Linked DNA regions of Coturnix japonica. The protein of the gene in region 1 binds, or shares a complex with, the protein of each later gene. Links are inferred from orthologs where the notes say so. Each region holds a gene or a part of one and is shown in the gene's direction. Other genes may lie near its edges.

The links.
Region 2: MAP3K20 (region 1) and MAP2K3 share a complex: the UniProt entries of both Homo sapiens proteins name them as parts of the signaling complex. The link is inferred for Coturnix japonica from reciprocal best matches to the Homo sapiens genes MAP3K20 and MAP2K3.
Region 3: MAP3K20 (region 1) and AKAP13 share a complex: the UniProt entries of both Homo sapiens proteins name them as parts of the signaling complex. The link is inferred for Coturnix japonica from reciprocal best matches to the Homo sapiens genes MAP3K20 and AKAP13.

Annotation. Positions count from the first base shown.
Region 1 is NC_029522.1:15,479,992-15,485,865, reverse strand, and holds part of MAP3K20 (mitogen-activated protein kinase kinase kinase 20), read left to right. Parts: intron 1-1,302; coding exon 1,303-1,419; intron 1,420-2,985; coding exon 2,986-3,060; intron 3,061-4,083; coding exon 4,084-4,234; intron 4,235-5,874. UniProt on the Homo sapiens protein: Stress-activated component of a protein kinase signal transduction cascade that promotes programmed cell death in response to various stress, such as ribosomal stress, osmotic shock and ionizing radiation.
Region 2 is NC_029529.1:4,540,543-4,546,416, reverse strand, and holds part of MAP2K3 (dual specificity mitogen-activated protein kinase kinase 3), read left to right. Parts: intron 1-401; coding exon 402-434; intron 435-661; coding exon 662-725; intron 726-2,222; coding exon 2,223-2,271; intron 2,272-4,216; coding exon 4,217-4,330; intron 4,331-4,551; coding exon 4,552-4,671; intron 4,672-5,107; coding exon 5,108-5,224; intron 5,225-5,365; coding exon 5,366-5,417; intron 5,418-5,874. UniProt on the Homo sapiens protein: Dual specificity kinase. Is activated by cytokines and environmental stress in vivo. Catalyzes the concomitant phosphorylation of a threonine and a tyrosine residue in the MAP kinase p38.
Region 3 is NC_029525.1:12,662,624-12,669,035, reverse strand, and holds the start of AKAP13 (A-kinase anchor protein 13), read left to right. Parts: upstream 1-2,159; 5' UTR 2,160-2,268; intron 2,269-6,412. UniProt on the Homo sapiens protein: Scaffold protein that plays an important role in assembling signaling complexes downstream of several types of G protein-coupled receptors.

The DNA of each region.
Region 1 (5,874 bases):
TCAATCCCTGATTGAAAGCTTTGAGACTTCTGAGGGCTGAGCTCCTGTGTTACATTTATGAGAGATGCACGTGCAAACACTAGCAGATAATCGCATGTACGGATGGTTATTTCTTAGGCTGCTGTACATTTGTGTGTGCAAATAACTGCTTATGCCAGCCCTTGGCCCTGAGCGGCCATCTGTGTTCCTGTTGAAAATTCTTGCATTTCTGAGCAGCCCTGAGGAGATGACTGCTTCCTGCGAATACCAAGACCGCAGCTGCCTGGCCATCGGCATGTAGGGACCCTCCTGACCCTCGGGCACACCTGGAGGGGCTCCTCCTCTGCCACGGGCAGTCCCCATCCAGGCTGCACACAGATAGATATGCCCTGCTTGGTGTCAACCCCCTTGTCCCTCAGGGAACAGACTTCTGGAGGAGCTCAGTGCACTGGACAGCATCAAATCCCCAAATCACCTGCTATGGTCTGCTGCACATCTGCTGTCCCCTGCAGGAGCCTCCCTGTTCATTGGCAGGGACACTGGTCCCAGTGCTCAACCTACCTGATATGTCCTGCAGGATGCAGCCAGAGCCATCAGCCTCTTGCAGGCTCACACCCATGCAAGGTGCCAGTGCTATGTTCATCCCATGGGATCATTCAAAGATACCTTTCACTGCTTTGGTTATTAGACTTGCTGTTTCAAAGCTGAGCTCCCTTAAAATTACTAGTGCTACTGGAGGTGAGAGGAGCTGAGGATGCTCAGTGCCTCACTGGACGCTCAGGATCTGAAGGAATTGAGCTGCATTAACCAGCTCATCCTCCTGCCCATTATTAGAGCAACTGTCCTGAAAGTGTTGCACACACCCTCTGGTCCTTAGTTCCCAGGTTCACCAGGAAGATGCCCTGAGGGCTGGCTGCCAGCTCTGGCTGTGGCTCCAGGTGATGGCTTCCATGGGTTGTGCCTCACCATCACTGCTCATATGGGCAGGCTGTGCTGCTGGGTGAACTGCTGCCATCCTGGGGCCCTCCAGGGGACCACTGAGGACAGTCAGACCTGCCAAGGTGGCTGCTGTCTCTCAGAGGCACCTGAGCAGGAAGCGAGCCAGAAAACGCAAGGGATTTCTATTAACCACACTCATTGTAAAACGCATATACTAAAGCATGTATATGTTCCTTGCCTTCATCGTCGTTGCTGGTTTTAGTTTTTTCCACTATACAGTGAGGGCTAGGCTGGGTTTGGCTAGTCTTTGGTTTTTTATATTTTGATTTCGATTTTTTTGTATTCTAACAGTCCAGCATTCTTTTTTATTATTATTATTCATAGGACTGTAAATGGAAAATGTACATGGAGATGGACGGGGATGAAATTGCAATAACCTACATAAAAGATGTGACATTCAACACTAACCTACCTGATGTAGAGATTTTAAAGATGACAAAGGTATTTACAGCCTTAAAGCTTTCACGAATTCACAGATCTCAAACAAAGACATTAAAATACCACAGCAGTCGACTTTTGTGCTTGCAGAAGCTCAGTCTCTTGACAGCTTTTAAATAAAATGCACATTTTAAACAGATGTGTATCATAATAAGAGTTAGCTATTTTGGTTCTCTTTTAAGCTGACAATAATGTTACCAGTAGAAAAACAAGAAAAGAAACTAATTTATATTTTCTAGTTTTAATTCCATGTTATAGCATCTGAATTTATTACCCCTTTTAAAGATGAGAATGTTAAAAACGTATGTTCCTTTTCAGGAGGAGAAAGTGATTTAAATGTTCCAATTTGAAACTTCATGTGATTTGTCTGAGCTTTTTTTTTTTCTCTCTCTCTTTTTTTTTTTTTTTTTTTTTTTTTTTTAGGGGGGGGGGGGGGGGGGGGGGAGGTTGGGGCATGGTTTTAGAACTTTTACATGCTTTTAAAACTCCCTTTTTCATGCAGATATGGGTTCCAAACACTGAAACCCTCAACATGTTGATCACGGGCATACAGCCCTGCACATCTGCAATTCAGTGCCACTGGGCATTTACCCTATTTGAGTAAACCTGCCTGTAGGCATTTACCAGCCAGCACTTAGACTGCTTTTACCATAAGCAACAGAAGGTTTGTTAAAGCACAGAATGCACTGGACATTCTGTTTGCTGTTATTTTAATTGATTGTTTTTATTAATGAGCTCTACTTAATAGCAGTTAATATCATAAATGAAAAAATACACATTTTTATTACCAGATAGAATGCTTCTCTAATGTGCACCGATTTAAATATAAAACAGAAACAAAACAAAACAACAAAAAAAACCCTCCTGAGTGCCTTTAACTGTGGATTTTTGTTGCAAAATTATGGCTGTTTTGTTTTTTTTTTTTCCTGAAGGAAAAACTGGAAGTCATACTTTCAACAGAATATTAGGGAAAATTTGTCTTAGACAGAAAGAATTCTTGTATTTAATGTCATAGGCATTCTAAGACTATTGTTGCAGATAAGGATTTCTTCACTGTTGTAATTCTAATGTTGTTACTATGTCATTGCAAAATAGCTTTCTGTTTCATGTCCAGAAATTCCATCTTCCATTAAAAAAAAAAAAAAAAAGAAAAAAGAAAATGGAGAAAGAGAAAGAAAAAAAGAAGAAAATGTTTTTTTTTTTTTTAACTTTAAGTTAAATGTCATAGTTTCAGATACAGTAGCATTAGCACTCACTTCAGGATTTGATTATCTGTCAGGGACTGTCTCCAGGAATCTTTATTCCATGTGTGTAAAATTGAAGAAGGGCAATGCCCCCATGAAAATATTCCATGCTGTCATACCTACAGTTATATATAGAAATATCTGTTTCATTCTGTAAACAAGGAGGTAAATAATTTCAGAGTATGTTTGTCCCATAACATTTTTAGATGCTTGCAATATGGAAAAGGGTGAGAAAAGGCACAAGTTACAAAGTACTTTTAGGGTGTTTCAGGGACAAGTCAGGAGATGATGAGCACCTCATAAATCACCGCTGTGTTCTTTTCAGCCACCGTTTGTTATGGAGAAGTGGATTGTGGGGATCGAAGAACACCAGTCTGTAGAATGCATTGTTACATATGAGGTAAGTGCTAAGAAACAACATGTTTATCTGAGATAACCTGTATGGGAGCTGTGGCAATAGCATCCCCACAGCTCTGCTATGTCCTGTAATCAAGTCTCAGCACCCTGTAATTAATTGTGAAATCTAAAGTTTGGAGCAAAAGCTGAATGAGATGTACAAAGTCTGTGTCCTCAGGCAGCTGCCTGGGATGGCTCTTTTTCTCAAGGACAAAAATTCCTTTTACTTGAAGTGTAACAGCCAGTGTGCTCACATTTGGTGGCTGTGGGTTTTTTTACCTTTTCAGCGAAGTGCTAATTAGGAGAGCTGAGGAGCAACAGGAGAAGAAAGAGAATGAAAAGTCAAAAGTAAAAGAGTAAAACCAAATTTCAAAGACAATTCAGCCACAATTTAAAAAGAACTTGTGGTTGCTTACAGAAGTGTTTTACGAAGAGTGATGCTGTGCTTCACAGTGAGGCTACCAGCTCTGTCCTGGGCAAGGAATCAAGCACTGATGGAGTGATGAGGAAATATCTTCCACCTTTTTTGGGTCTGTCTCAGAAGTAAAGAACAAGAGTTTTCTGTTGCTCCAAGTTTCTTTCAGCCTTTCAGAATTGCAGGCAGCATGGCTCCTCCAAAGGAAGAGATTGATACTCCAAGAAAGCAAATGTGGAGTGTTCTCCTGCAAAAATACCTACTTCTTTTAGCAGAAGGCACTGTCTATCTGGTGTTCACATTATAAGACAAGTAGAATATTCTTTGTATTTGTAGAATAAGGCCTTCAGATCTCTCCTCCATGTGGTACATGAATTGGAACACTTACTCACTGCCACATTTTTAGCATAATCATAAAATATCAGCCAAAATTATCTAGTCTAAAAATACATGAGAACTGGCTAAGTGGTTCTGCAAAACAAACTGTATTCGGAGTGCTGCTGCCACACAGGCACAAGTGGAAGTTCCCGGGCAGGAGAGCTTAGTGGGTTGTGTGTTGCTATGTCCTCACATGCCTTGTGTCCTTATGTGTGTTGTGTCCTTCCTGAGCAGAGCGACGTTCGAGCTCCCAAATCCACCAGGCATGTCCAAGCTATCTGCTGGAGCAAGGTGAAAGCACAGGATGAGGTCAAGGCAGTACAGCTTATGATACAGACCTCACTCCCCAACTCAGAGGGGCACTCACGGAGCAGGTCTGACTCAAGTAAGTTGCTACACATGAACTGCCTACCTCTGTTGCTGGTGTGGGCAAAGCATTTATGTGGAGAACAGCAAAAAGACAACACTATTATTCTCATCCAACAACAGAGCACCATCTTGCAGCTTCAGCTGGCATTGTGGTCCCTATGACATCTTCATAGGCACATGCAGGAGCACCCTGGCATGTATGACTTAGCTTAAAGGCTAAAAGTTAGGTAGTGACACATTTTATATCAAAGTGTGATTTAAGGAGGGGTGGCCTGTGTGCTTCTATATTAAGTATGCTGGGAACAGTCCATGGCAATTAGCTGCAAATGTGTGGTGTTTCATTTGCAGTAGCATATCAGTAGCTCAGATCCTTCTGCTCCAAAACCCCCAGGGCTATATATCTTCCAGTATTGAGCAGGACCATAAAGCTGCACCAGCGCAGGGCTGACACCATGTGTCTGAGTCCACCAGCAAGGCTGGACTTGTCAGCAAGAATGTGGTCGTATGGCAGTGCATCTAATCAGCTTTGGGACTGGACTGAGGGCATGGGCAGGATGCTGTAATTATCTGTGTAACTGTGCCATAGAGGAAGATTTGTTTCTCAACCAGGATTTCAGGAAGGTATCTGCCGAGAAAGGAGACAATCTCTCACGTCTCTTCCCTCCATCTGTTGGGAAATGTGGTTTTCCACAGTCCTTTTGGGAACCTGGGAAGCCAGTGCTTTCAGTAGGTTTTTATGCTGACTTTCTCTCCTTGCAATCCAAACTCACCAAAAGTGTTGTGGTCAGCTCTTTCCTCCTGCTGTTGGCTACCCAGTGTGCAGACAGATTTGCACAAATGTCTAAGATATGAGCAGACCCAAAACGTGTTCCTGATGGCTGCAAAGAGGAGTGGAAGTCCTCTTGAACTCTTCTTCCACAGCTCAGTCTGCCCATTCTGGTCTGCCCTGATTCCAGTTCTGGCTTCCCCTGGAACAGGGCTTTGGAAAAGGTTCTTTGCATCTTAAAGAAGTGACACTTTTTGTACAGGTGTTTGTTAGTCAAAGTGGTTTTTTTTTGTTTGTTTGTTTTGTTGTTTTTTTTTCTGATTCAGTACACAGTAGTGCTGTAGAAATATGTGGGCTGGAACAAGATAGCAGTCATTGGAGAGTGAGTTTCCCCAATCACATGGCACTATTGCTGCATCTGGAGCAGTAGCCTTGTGAGCCACTGATGATACAGACTACAGACACGTTTAAAATGGGTGCTCACATTCCTAAGTAACCTATCAATTTGCAGAACAACTGTGTTTTGTAATGCATGTGGAACACAGCATGTCCTGAAAGACACGTTTTCACTGCAGATCAGCTCCTGTGATCCAGGTCCTGGGCTGATGAGCCATACAGCCATACCCAAGTGTGGTGTTGTATCTTCACAGGTTGGCTCTGCCGCAGTAAGCCAAGCTGCTTTCATTTTTTTGTGGCAAGCGGTGGGAGAGCTTGTCTGTCCCTCTGGCACATGGAGGAGTTGCACGAAGTCACTAATGTATTGTCTGCACCCAAGTGAATAGGCACAGTTCAGAGGAAATGGGTTACCAGCCAGCGTGAAAGCTGCGCCTCAGCTCTAGCAAATCTCTCGGCCTGTCTTCTTTACCAGATCACCTACCCCAGGTTTAAAA
Region 2 (5,874 bases), on another chromosome or scaffold:
AGTGGCACATGAGTTGTTCCCTCTCAGGGTCAGAGTTGCCAGTTGCTGTACATGAGGTTTGGTGGCCGTTGTCCTGATGGCACAGAGCAGGGCTGGCTGCTCCCCTGCCTCCTCCAGCATACCCACAGGATCTGTCTCTTCCTTGCCCAGCTGGGAGCGTGCTGAGAAATAAATCAGTGCTTCCCAAAGTGGGATCTGCTGGGAGCACATTGGGGTGCTGGCATTGCCCTGGGCAGAGCCAGTGGCATGAGGACATCTGGTGGCTGTGCAGGGCAGGGCTGGGTGCCAGCTGCCCCATGGCATGTTCCTGTGCTCCTGTTTGGCACCATAAGGGGTGTATGCTTTGTATCAGGTGCTTTGGAGTGTAAGCACTGACCTGATGTCTCCCTGTTCTCTTCCAGATTCCAAGGGATCCCTGGAGCCACACAAACCAGGTGAGTGCCCAACAGACAGAGCAGCTTCACCCTCTCTTCTAAATGCCAGCAATTGAAATCCCCCCAGAAAAGGAACCATTAATGGCCACAGGGGGTAAAGAGTGCTGTGGGGGTGGCTGGGAGCAGGGCAGGGTGTGAGAGCTGCAGAATTGTGCCAAAAGGAAGGAAAGTTTAATAAATAAATAAATAAAAATGCCCGTTGCTTATGTGTGCATCTTCTCTTGCAGCGAAGGGCAAGAAGAAGCTGAGGATAACATGTCCTCCCATCAAGCAGCCCCCTGTCAACACCACGTGAGTACCTGCTCCTGCAGCCAGTTCTAGGAGCTGTAGTGAGCTGTCTCAGGCCATGTGGGTGTAGAGGTGTTACCACGTCAGCTGGTTGTGGGGGTTTTTCAACTGGAGCTCTGGATTCTCAGTTATGAGAAGGAATTGCACATGTGCACACACACAGATTGTGTGTGCCTCTGGGAGCTGCCTGCAGGGCTAGGACCTGGAGCAGGGATGAAGGTGCTGGGTGCAGCAGAGCAGCCCCTGCCCCGTGCTTTGGCCTGTGTGTGAACCCACTGAGCTGCCCATGTTGGTGCAAGGAGGATGTAGAAGCCTTGTTGCTCCCCTCTGCTGTGCTTGGGGCTGGTGCCTGGCTGCATCTCAGGCACTGGGATTTCTCTGTGCCCTGTTTGCTGCTGCTTGGTATGTTGTTATGTTGGGGGCAAGGAGAGGACACAGGACCAGGGTGGTAGCGCTAGGTTTGACAAAAAGCAGATGGCTGAAATTCCTCCTCTATGATGCATCTCCACTGCTCAGCTCTGCTCTCTCTGGAGAGCAACAGAGCTCTGGGGGAGCAGTGAATCCCTCTCTGGGGGCACATCTCTGAATCCCCAGGCAGGGCAGATTGCCTGGAGCCGGGAGCTCCCTGTTGACAGCCTGGTGTGCAGACAGTCCTGCATGCAGAGCTCTCTCTCTCCATGGCTGTGGCTCTCTGGTGTCCGAGTTTCCCCTGGAGCAGATGTCAGCTGTGGTTTGCAAGGTGCTTGCATGCAACTCCTGTTCAGACTGGTTCCAGGCCCCCACCATTCCTTTTCTCTGCACTTTTCAAGGCACATTGCAAATATTTGCACAGTGCCAATGCTTTTGCTGTGAGCCTGAGCACTTCCTTGAAGCTGCTGCAGTGCTCTGATGGGAATGAAGATGCTGAGCAGATTGCCCAGTTCCCAACCTGACAATGTTGGAGGACTTGAGCACAGGAGCAGTGCAGAAGGGGCAGAAGTACAGTGTGTGCCTTAAACCCTGTACTGCCAATAGCAGGGAATGGGTAGCCATGAGGAGGGAAAAAAGCCATAAAGGAAGACTTGCCTACACGGTGTTGTGCAAAGTGTGACGCTGCTGGCTGCTCCGCATGCCAGGCTGCCTGGAACAGGCTGTCAAGAGTACACAAATGACTCAGTGCAGAGGAATTACCTGTTGTTTCCTAGGCGTGTTTGGGGCGACGTGGCCGTGCTGTTACAACACCTGCCTGTCAAAACACGACAGCTGCTCCTCTCCCCGCATGGGGTCGGTTTCGTAGCTTTGATGCAGCCTCACCTTGCTGCTTGCTGGGCTCCTGCTGGCTCTGTGGGTGGTGGTGGCTCGATGAAAGCCTTTGGGAGCATTTGGAGGGGGCTGGTGTGCACCCATAACAACGCACTGTGGGAAGCAGTGGCTGAAAGCACCTGGGGGCGCATGAAACCTGGCACTGCAGGAGGGGAGTTTTGAGGTTGTGCTTCCTTCTGATTCCTTCTCTCCTTTCAGGCCACCAAGGAACCTGGACTCCAGAACCTTCATCACCATTGGAGACAAAGTACGTGTCAATGTTCTTGTTTCCAAGTCTGCTTGCCTCCTGTATGGGAGTAGTATGGATCATGCTGCCTTGTCAGGTTGGATCTTTGCAATCCCAAGCATCCTTTAAGCCCCAGCGTGTCCTCCTGGTGCAGCCTCCTGGGATGCATCTTTGGAAGGGGATGAGGTGTCCTCAGGCAGGACCTTTCCACAGTTGGCTGCGGGTTTGTGCTGGTATTGAGAGCATCAGGGGGACAGGCATTTGTGGGGTGAGGCTTTGTCCTTAATGGGATCCTGCTCCTTTGGCAGCCTCCTCACTCTTACCCAGCCTGGCTGTGCCCTGCTGTCCCAGCCCACGTCCCCTTTGTCCCTATTGCTGCTGGCATTCCACCAGAAGCTGGGCTCAGAGCTTCTCTCCAAATCCTTTCCAAGCTGCCTGATGAAAAACGCTGCTAGAAATAGCTGCCGCCTCTCTTTTATTTCATTCTCTTGTTACGGGCTCTCCTGGGGCTGCAAGTGACCTAAAAATATGGTGTGGGGTCAGTCCCATCCTTGGTGCAAGGTTTTAGGTTTTGAGGGGAGAGAAGCAGCCTGGGCTGGGTGCAGGGATCAACCCTGTTGCTGGTGTTGTGTTCTAGCTGTTGTTGTGTGTACTGGTAGCTTGGGGAGAGGCTGTATGCAGCAGCTTGGGCACAGTGTGTGCAATGGGAGAGCTGCAGCCTGGGGGCAGCTCTGCAGGCTGTGCCCTCCCTGCTGTGCATTGTTCCGAGGGGTTCTGCATCTGTGCCCTGCCTGCCCTGAGATCTGCAGCTCAGGTTTGCTCTGGGTGCTTCAGAACAACACAACATGGGATGGAGGAGTGGTGGGTGTATGGGCAGCTTTGGGTTGTGAGATGAAGGGTGGCTATGGGTCCATTTGATCTGAAGCAGAGGGTAAGGGGTGCAGTGTGGGGTTTTGTTGGTTCATCATCTGGGCAGGGCTGTGCTGGTTCCTGGAGCGTGCTGGGAACTGCCAGCGTCTGGGGAAGCCTGTGGGTAAATGCCAGGAACACAAACACAATGCCCTGGAACAATTCTAGAACACGTGTCCTGAAAAGCACCACTAGGTCCTTCCTGGAGGCCCCTGCAGGAGCTGTAAGCCCACACTGTGCCTCTGCCCAGGGCAGTGAGGTGGGGGCTGCATGAACCCCCTGTAGCCCCATTGGATCTTCTATTGGATCTTCTGTCCCACCTGGGACAGGTTGCCACTTCCCTGTGCTATGCAGCACAGCTTCCTGCTGAGCTCAGCCCCTGACCTCCCTCAGCTTCCCACCATCCCAATCTTGTCCAAATTAGTAGGGCTGGTGGCTTGCATGGCCACTAGCCTTGTAGCCCTGGCTCTCAGCATGCTGCTGCCCTTCTGCTCTGGGTGCAGTGCTGCTTCTAATGCTGCATGGTGCTTTTCCCACCCTTTGCTGCTACTGGGTCAGTTTGGCATCCTGGTGTTATTTTTGTTCCCTGGAACCGGAGGGAAGCTGCAGGCTGGATGAAGTCCTGCCTGGTTGAAAGAAGGTCTGTAACTTATTAAGAGCGATGAATGCAGCCTCCAAAAATAGCCCATGTCTCACTCCAGCAGCATATGCCCTGCCCAGCAGAGCAGACAATTACAGGGCAATGTGTGTTGGGGGAAACTTGTCCGTGGGATGTGCAGAAACTTACTGGCAGAGAGGCACTGAGCCTTGGGCCTCTTCCAGTGACACTGTGCCCTTTGGTATATCTCAATCTCTGGCTTAAAAGTGGTATTCAATATGCCCCAAGGAGCCAAAAATACATGCATCTGTTCTAAGCACGGTGGGCTGCTGTGATCCTGTAGGTGCAGTGGTTTGGGCATGCTCTGTGTGGCTGAAGTGCAAGCAGTGAACTTTGCCTTTACAGTAAATGTGCTCCAGCCTGATTTTTGTTTGACTGTTATTATCCATTTCCTTACAGAACTTCGAGGTGGAAGCTGATGACCTGGTGACTATTTCAGAGCTGGGCCGGGGAGCTTATGGTGTGGTGGAGAAAGTGAGGCATGCTCAGAGTGGCACCATCATGGCCGTGAAGGTGAGAACGGCTTCCTCCTGGTGGGGCAGAATGGGGACAGAGATGGAGGCTTGTTGGATTTGGCAGCCTCCTGTGTCCCCTTGCAGCCCAATGTGGCACTTAGGTGGTGTCATTCATTATGGTGCTGTTTGTAAGAGGTCATCTGGGCATCTCTGGGGTGATGCGTTGGCTACAGAACTCCACCTACATCAAAACCTTTTTTTTTCCTTAATATTTCTCAGAGGATTCGTGCCACAGTGAACACTCAGGAGCAGAAGAGGCTGTTGATGGACTTGGATATCTCCATGAGGACGGTTGACTGCTTCTACACCGTCACTTTCTATGGAGCCCTATTCCGAGAGGTGAGGGGCTCTTGTTGCACAGCAACTTGGGTCTGCGCTTGTCCTCTGAATGCACAAAACTGTCTCAAACCACCTTTGTTTCCTACAACCAAAGTGGGCTGGTTGAGGTGGTGCAAGGCCCAGCTGTTGCAGGAGGCAGCAGGTCCCTTTCCATGCTGCAGCAGCAGGTGCCCAAGCATGCTGGCAGTGGGCTGGGCTGGATTTCAAGTAGGGCACTCTTGGAAGTGGGTGTTGGAAGTGCTATTGGTGGCACTCCAACATGAGTGCCCATTGCTGTCAGGTGCATGTTGGTATGTGGTTGGCAGCACTTCCACCACAGGGACATTGGATTGCCCTGGGTGGAAGTGCAGTGTCCATCTGTCTGCCCTCACTGTGTCATTTGGCTCCTGTGGGTGGTTTGGAGCACTCCCTATAGCTACTTTCTTTCCACCTGCAGGGTGATGTGTGGATCTGCATGGAGCTCATGGATACTTCCTTGGATAAATTCTACAAGAAAGTACTGGAGAAGAAGAAAACAATCCCAGAAGACATCTTGGGGAAAATGGCTGTGTCTGTGAGTGCCTCCTGAGTTTTGTGCCCCTCTCCCTTAAGCTTTGCACACTCCCCACACGCTGTGGTTTGCACTCCTATAGGAGTTTGCTGAGTGCTGAGCTATGTGTGGCTAATGGTGCTCTCTTGCTCTGTTTGTCTGCAGATTGTACGAGCTCTGGAGCATCTGCACAGTAAACTGTCCGTAATACACAGAGGTGGGTGTTGAGTTGGATTTGCATAGTGTGCTGCAGTGCAATATGTTATGGGAAGGCTCCTTGCAAGGAGATGTGTGATGTGTGCCTCTGGGATGCCTAAAGTTGGGCTCTGGTGGCACTTGGGGGCCATGGTGGACACACTTAGATGCCTCAGGCCTGTTCCAGAGGTGTATCCTTCATGCATCTTCTTACTTGATGTTCTCTTTCCCCTTTCCACACGAGGGGTTGGATATAATGACTGAATTCCTCACTGTCTAGATTTCTGTAGGCATCTCTGTCTCTGAGTACTGGGATGCATTGCAGGCAGCCCTTGGGGACAAAATCCCATACCCTTCCTGGCTGGGTAGTTCTGGCAAAGGGAGAGCTGAAGAAGACCTTGAAAATCACTGATGGGCATCGTAACAGCTGGGTCCTGCTCTTCATCTTAACACAGTTCATTGTGTACTTGTGCACAGGT
Region 3 (6,412 bases), on another chromosome or scaffold:
ATAAGACTTAATTGTTTTATTTTTTTAAAGTGTATATATTTTTTAAAGATTATATATAAGAGAGGTGATGTCTGTGTTCGCCAGTGCTGGGATATTCCTTCCCAGTAGAGGATGAGGGGAAATCCATATGGAGAAACCCTTCTAAAAAGAGTCTACTTATACATTCAGGAGTTATCTTGATGCATCTCCATGAGGAAAGGAGAACCCTTTGGGTGGTTAATTCCTTGATTTGGACACCTTTACTGAACGTGCAGACTTTTTGCATACAGAAATAGAAATATAAGACTTCTTAATATTCTTTGCACCTTCTTGGGCTAAGCTGAAAACTCCTCCAGAATAAACTCAAACAAAAAGCCCCAGGAGAGTAATGTCTTTTTGCAAAGCTGGTTGATTTTCTCCACTTGCTAATACTTTCCAAGTCATAAACATCCTAGTGAGTTTTGCATGTGTGCCTCCATATACACACCCTCATTCCTTAATGGGTATGATGAGAAATCTGCAGTGATTCACTGCACACTCACTGTGTATTTACCAGTGTTATCTCTGCCCGTAATGCTTGCCAGCTTATAGGAGTAGCAGTAAAGCTCGCTGAAGCTCTGCGTGGTATTGAAAGCCAAGTTATCAGTCTCACAAACAAGTGAAACCACTGCACTGTTGTAGTGTATGCCTTGGAGAGAGCTGCTGATCATCACTCTCTCCGATCAACGTGGGATCACTACCAGGAGCCTTGGGTTAATGTTTCTTACTTAATGTAGTTAATCGTTGCCTTATCAAACTGTAACCACTCTTTAACATGCAGTCCTGAAAGCAGCTCTGCAGGAATGCTGGAGGGAAGTTCCAGTCTGTTTGCTTCTGACTGTGAGGGAGGTTTTTACTGGTTAATGAATCCAAAGGACGTTTGCTTCCTCTGCCTGGTACTGGAGAGTTCAGGTAGTTCTTTCAGCTCAGTACTTTGCCATGGAGATGTAATTTAGAAATGTGACAACAGAATAAGGAGTCATGGACTTCTTATTTTTCCCTCATTTCCTCACTGCTTCAAGAGGAACAAGGGGAAGCTTTTTTTCCCTTTTCCAATTTGAAATGGTCTGTGCTGAAGTGCCTATGGAAAAATAACCCTTTTCTGCCTTCAGTGCCCCATAGTGCCTCACAAAGTGCTGTCCCTATCCCTCAGCAGGAGCCCACCAGCAGAATTAAGGGAAGTTTTAGTAACAGCCCTCTCAAAAAACCTTGTGCACAACTGGTGTGGCAGAGTTCAGGTTCTGCTGTGTCTTTGTGGTTGGATGAAGGCTTGTTTTGCAATGCTCTGTCTCTCAGCTTTTACCTTCCCCAGCCAATTCATGGAGCACAATTGATTTTCCAGCTGCTAGCAAGCTTTGCCATTGTTCCTGCTTGTAATTGTGCTTTGAGCTGTGCAGATTGGATCAGGATGTGTGAGATCCCTCATTACAAGCATTTTCCCAACTAAACAGTATAGGAGCAGGCGATGCATTGAGCTTGCATTGGGTGCTGTGTGCCTACCCACAAACACTACTGGTGTGGTAATGAAATGATGGCCAGAGGTGCCCCAGTGACTGTCATTTAGGCCATACAATCTCTCACGCAACATTTAATACACAAAATCACAGCCTGTATTCTTTCTTGACTTGCCATTCGGTTATTTTAACTGTTCTTTCCTGTTGTGCTCCATAGAGCAGGCTTACCCCTAGGGCTGGGGAAGGAAATCTGCCTGTGGAGAAGTGCATGGTTCCCCATCAGGGTTTGGCAGAGGCTTGCTGGTAGATTATGGGCTTCATCTACAGATTCTCACTGGCCACCAACTTGTGTTGGGTGCTTTTGTCTTCTCCAACATGCCTTGTGATAATGAGGGTTCCCGACTACTTTGAAGTGGTTGAGATAGGTGTAGGGGGATGAATTTGCAGGATTTCATCTTCGAGTTAAGCGTGACAGATACCAATCCAACTGTACTGTGGAGGGGGACAGGGCAGGATCAAGCTCAGTCCCACAGATGGGTTTCATGCTTCCTTCACAGAATCCTGGGAGCAGGCTGCTGTCTCCTATCTGCCCACAAGACATAGGTTGGTGGAAGGTTTCCATACCCCAGGTATGGGGCAGGTGTATGTTCCCAGTACAGGCCTTGTTGCATCCCGGTGACTCCTCCTTCTTCTCTTGCAGGAGCTGAACCTTGAGTCCTGCTCTGCTGCTCTATGCTCACTGGGGGAAGGCCTGGAAGGACATCTTGGACTATTGGTACTGCTTCATGCAGTTCAAGTAAGGTCACTTGTTTTGACAGCTCTTGGGTACAAGTGAATGCTGAGGCAAATTGTTCTGGGGGATGGGTTTGCCTGGCTTACCTGCTGGATGGCAAGAGCAGATGTGGATATCTAAGTATGTGATAAGCAAATTTGACAAAAGGAAAATAGAATGGTGTGAAGAGTGCTGAAGGTGCTGGTGAAGAATTACATTTGAGACTTTATCTCTCACAAGTGAACTCGCAGCATGATTCATAGTGCAGTTGTACATGCTCTTATTGTTCCATTGAGCGTATGCCATGGTGTGAAACAGTCTATAGCACTTTAGGCACCAGCTGCTCTTCCCTATTATTTTAAGGCACTGTGCACTTGTCCCTGGGGGTAGACAGGTGGTTGTGGTGTTCTCAGCCCGAGGGTTTCTTCAGAAGTTGCTGGGTATAGGAGTTGGGGCACACAGGGCTCCTGCCCAGGGACCATGGCTATTTGTGGGCCTGATGGGGGCCTGTCCTGCAGTGCTCCAGGTGTTCGTTCAGTGTTGTATTTTCAGTTCTCATAACCTCTCAGTGGTGGTGAACCAGATCAGGGGATGGATCTGACTTGCAAGATGACATGTAGCTACTGTAGGACTGTTCGGAGATGTTGTGTTTCATGCATTTATACTCATTTTCTCCAAAAATACTTAGGTTGGAAAAAAAACTGTTAGCCTAAAGCAAAGAAACTGTGGGAGTCTTCTTTGGAAACGGGTGCTTGCAGAGCTTGGGCTCTGTCAGAGGGCTGTTTTCTCCTCTTTTGTGTGTAACCTGTTTACCTTCTGCAGCGTCTCACATTTTCCATGGCTGTGCCCAAGAAGACTGGTGCAAAGCAGTGTGGTTAACAGTGCTGGGCCCAAATCATTTGGCAGTGCTGTAGCAACAGCTGGGTGGATTAATAGTAAACTGTTGCTGTGCTTGGGAGACAAGTATTTGTTGTGATTATTTTGGTTTCCTTTTCTTATGGGTTGGGTAGGGGCGTTGTACCTATTTGCAGAGTTTGAGAAAGAAAAATAATAATAAGTCTTAGAATTATGAGTGAAATTATGAATGAAACCTTCTTTATTAGGAAAGCATTCCTTTGAGGATGTGGCTTGCAGAGGGCTGGTCTCTGCATCCATCATGAGCTCAGACCGTTAGCTAGATGTGCTGTGCATGGCTAGAGGAATGCACTACATGAGCTTCTGTAGAAGAAAAGCAATTTGCTGTTTGATTTGCCACCAGATCAGGCTGTCCAGGGCTTCATCCAGTCTGGCCACCATCGATGGGGCACCTACAGCTCTGGGCAAGATGTTCCAGTGTCTGTTCCAGTGTCTCATCACCCTTCCTAGCAGTTTCTGAACTTCCTGTTAATTCTGGAGTACAGGAGCATGCAGTGAGCAGTGCCGGCTGCAGAGGTTTCCATCTGCAGGCAGCAAGTGCTGCTCACCTGGCCCTCAGAACCAACATCTGCACCATGGCTGCTTCCAGGTGTGTGTTCTCTGATAGGTCTGGAAAAAAGACTAAACTTGAGTTTAGGAACAGCTTTCCTTATTCTTCAAAGCTTTCTCTCTTTTTGCCTGCTGGTCCAGTATTTCCCTACCTGTGCTTGTAATGATGATCCCTTCATTTCATTCGTGGTTACTCCTTAATGAACTAAATGTTAATGAATTCTGTAACATTTAAAATAGCTGCATAACTTGATGAAAAACAAATAAGAAAAAAAACAACAAGCAAACAAGAAATACTAATAATAAAGGGATGCATTTCTACTCTCTGAATTTAATCCCGTGTTATAATGGTGCAGAAATGCCTGGCTGATGAACAGCTGCACAGCGTGGGCTCTTGGTTCTGCGTAGCTGCTTGTCCCTGAGCTGGGGTAATAAATGATTTACTGGTGTGGCTGCAACCTGTGGGCATTAACCCATTGGGCTCCTAAGGGGGCCAACCTGAAAGCTTGTTTTGTGAGGGCTGCTGGAAGCAATGTTTTCAGGTGCAAAGCTGGATGTCTGTTTGCAAAACTTGCTTTATTGCTTAAGGGCAGGTTGCTAAAGGGATTGGATGAAGGGGATGGATGAGGTGGTGATATTGAGTAGAATTTGTGCCTTTTAGAGTTTGATTTTGTTTTTAATTTAATTTTCAGATTTCAATGTGTATTTTCTTATCTCTGCTTTAGAGATGTGATACTTTGTTGCCTTGTTTTTTGCTTTTTGTGGTACCATCCATGGATGCTGTGCACTTAATATTATGTCTAACTTTCTCTCCCTGGCTATGAGTACTAAAGGACTAAATTAGTTGTTGAGAATGGGTCAGTGTTGAGTTTGGCTCAGATGTGATGCTCCAGTAAAACCAGCTGATTCTGTGTCTACCTAAATAAAGTACGTGAATCACTAGGATGTTTTTTCCTATGGTTGCCTGAGTTGAAAGGAACAGATTACTTATAGAAAACAACTTCTAATTTTGCTTTCCCTTCCTGCTGTCTTTCAGCTGGCTTTTGTGCATCTGGAGGCGCTATAGGTGCTGCATAGCATATCTATTCATATTTCAAAGATAACTGTAGTCCTGTTCCTTCTATTTTGAGCACTCAGCTTTGGGATGGCCTCTGTTTCTGCAGAGAATGCTGAATGTACTTGTCCTTTGAACACTGCTGCATCTTGAGAAGTTCCCCTAAGTATCTAAAGTCAATAATTGCTTTTACAAACAAAGTGTTTTATCTTTGAGGACTTCCCTAGAATTTACTCCCATCGTGTGTATTCAAGCTATGCAGTGTATTAGAAGTTATCATTTGAAGAGGCACCTAGAAGGTCTGCTAAGGATTTCTGGCGGTTAATACTTGAGCCTGAGATAAATGTTTCATGCCTACGTGAGACAGCTGCCCCAGAACCTGTTGGAGGACTTGATTTGAGTATAAACATACATGTGCTTTTACGTACGTGCTGCACTATAATTCAAGTTGACTGTTAGTCCTTAACTTTATTAGGATGTAGCTACTTGAGCTGAAGATGGAGCCTCTGCTTTTAATTTTATTACAGCTGCGTGGTAGCTACTTTAAAAACGCTGCTTGGGTTTTAGGAATTGGTATCTTAATTACTGTTTGCCATTAGTAATACTTTAAAGTACCAATTGACAAGTGAGGGCAGTTATATCTTGTTACAAGTGGATTGGTTGACAATATGTATGTATTGTAATATGTGAAATTAATGGCCCTGTGCTGATGACCCTTGTACATTTACAGAAGACTGGTCTTTATGATACACAAATAGATTCCGGACACAGGAAAGAGGCTTATGACAAGAGGATGAGATCAGTTTGTATAATTAGAGCTAGTAAATAATCCTTTTACTCTCTGTTGTTTCAACTTCTACAGCGTCTTTGTTTCTTTCAAATTGGGCATGAGGAGCGTAGGGTTGATAACCACAGTGATTTGAGTTTTGTGGTGGTTTTTATACCTAGCAATAGCAGTGAAGAAACCAGATGTATGTGCTGAGAGTGATTGCTGCCTTCCTCTGCTGGGCCCGGGGGATGTTGCTGCTTTGGTTTACCCCACATGGCTTGATCTCCTTCCAGGGTCTGGGTGGTAAGGTGGGAGCCCCAAAAACCATGGTCCTGTGCTGCAGGCTGGGCTTTGGTCCATTAAGAGCATGGGTCCATTGCTGCCACCAGGAAGCCAAGCTACATTAAGCAAAGCAAGTTAATCTATATCCAGAGCGTTTTATTAAATCATCAGTCAATTAAATCAGTGACGCTCTGTTAGCTTTCGTTCCAGCGAGGCTCTGCATGCAGTTATTAAGCTGTTGCTGTAGCAACTCTTGGCCTTCTGTTGGTGGGGCCTGCTGCATGGGGAAGGCTGCAGTGCTGAGCTCTCCAACAGCATTTAACATATAGGGCTGATTTTTCAGTTGAATTCGTTCCTTTTCCATCCTGTACTGGGGAAGGAGAGTGTCATGAAGTTGCATTTCTTTCTGGTGCTGTTAAATCTGTCTGCATGCAACTGGTTGCAGCAGGGGACTCGCAGACCTGCCAGTGGTCTTTCATAGGCAAAGATAGCACGGCCAGGCCAACACGAAGCGTGTTTACATCTCCTTTGCATCACTTGCAGCCAAATGAAACTCCTCTGTGTCTGTAATTGAATGGCGACATATGGTTTTGTTTGCA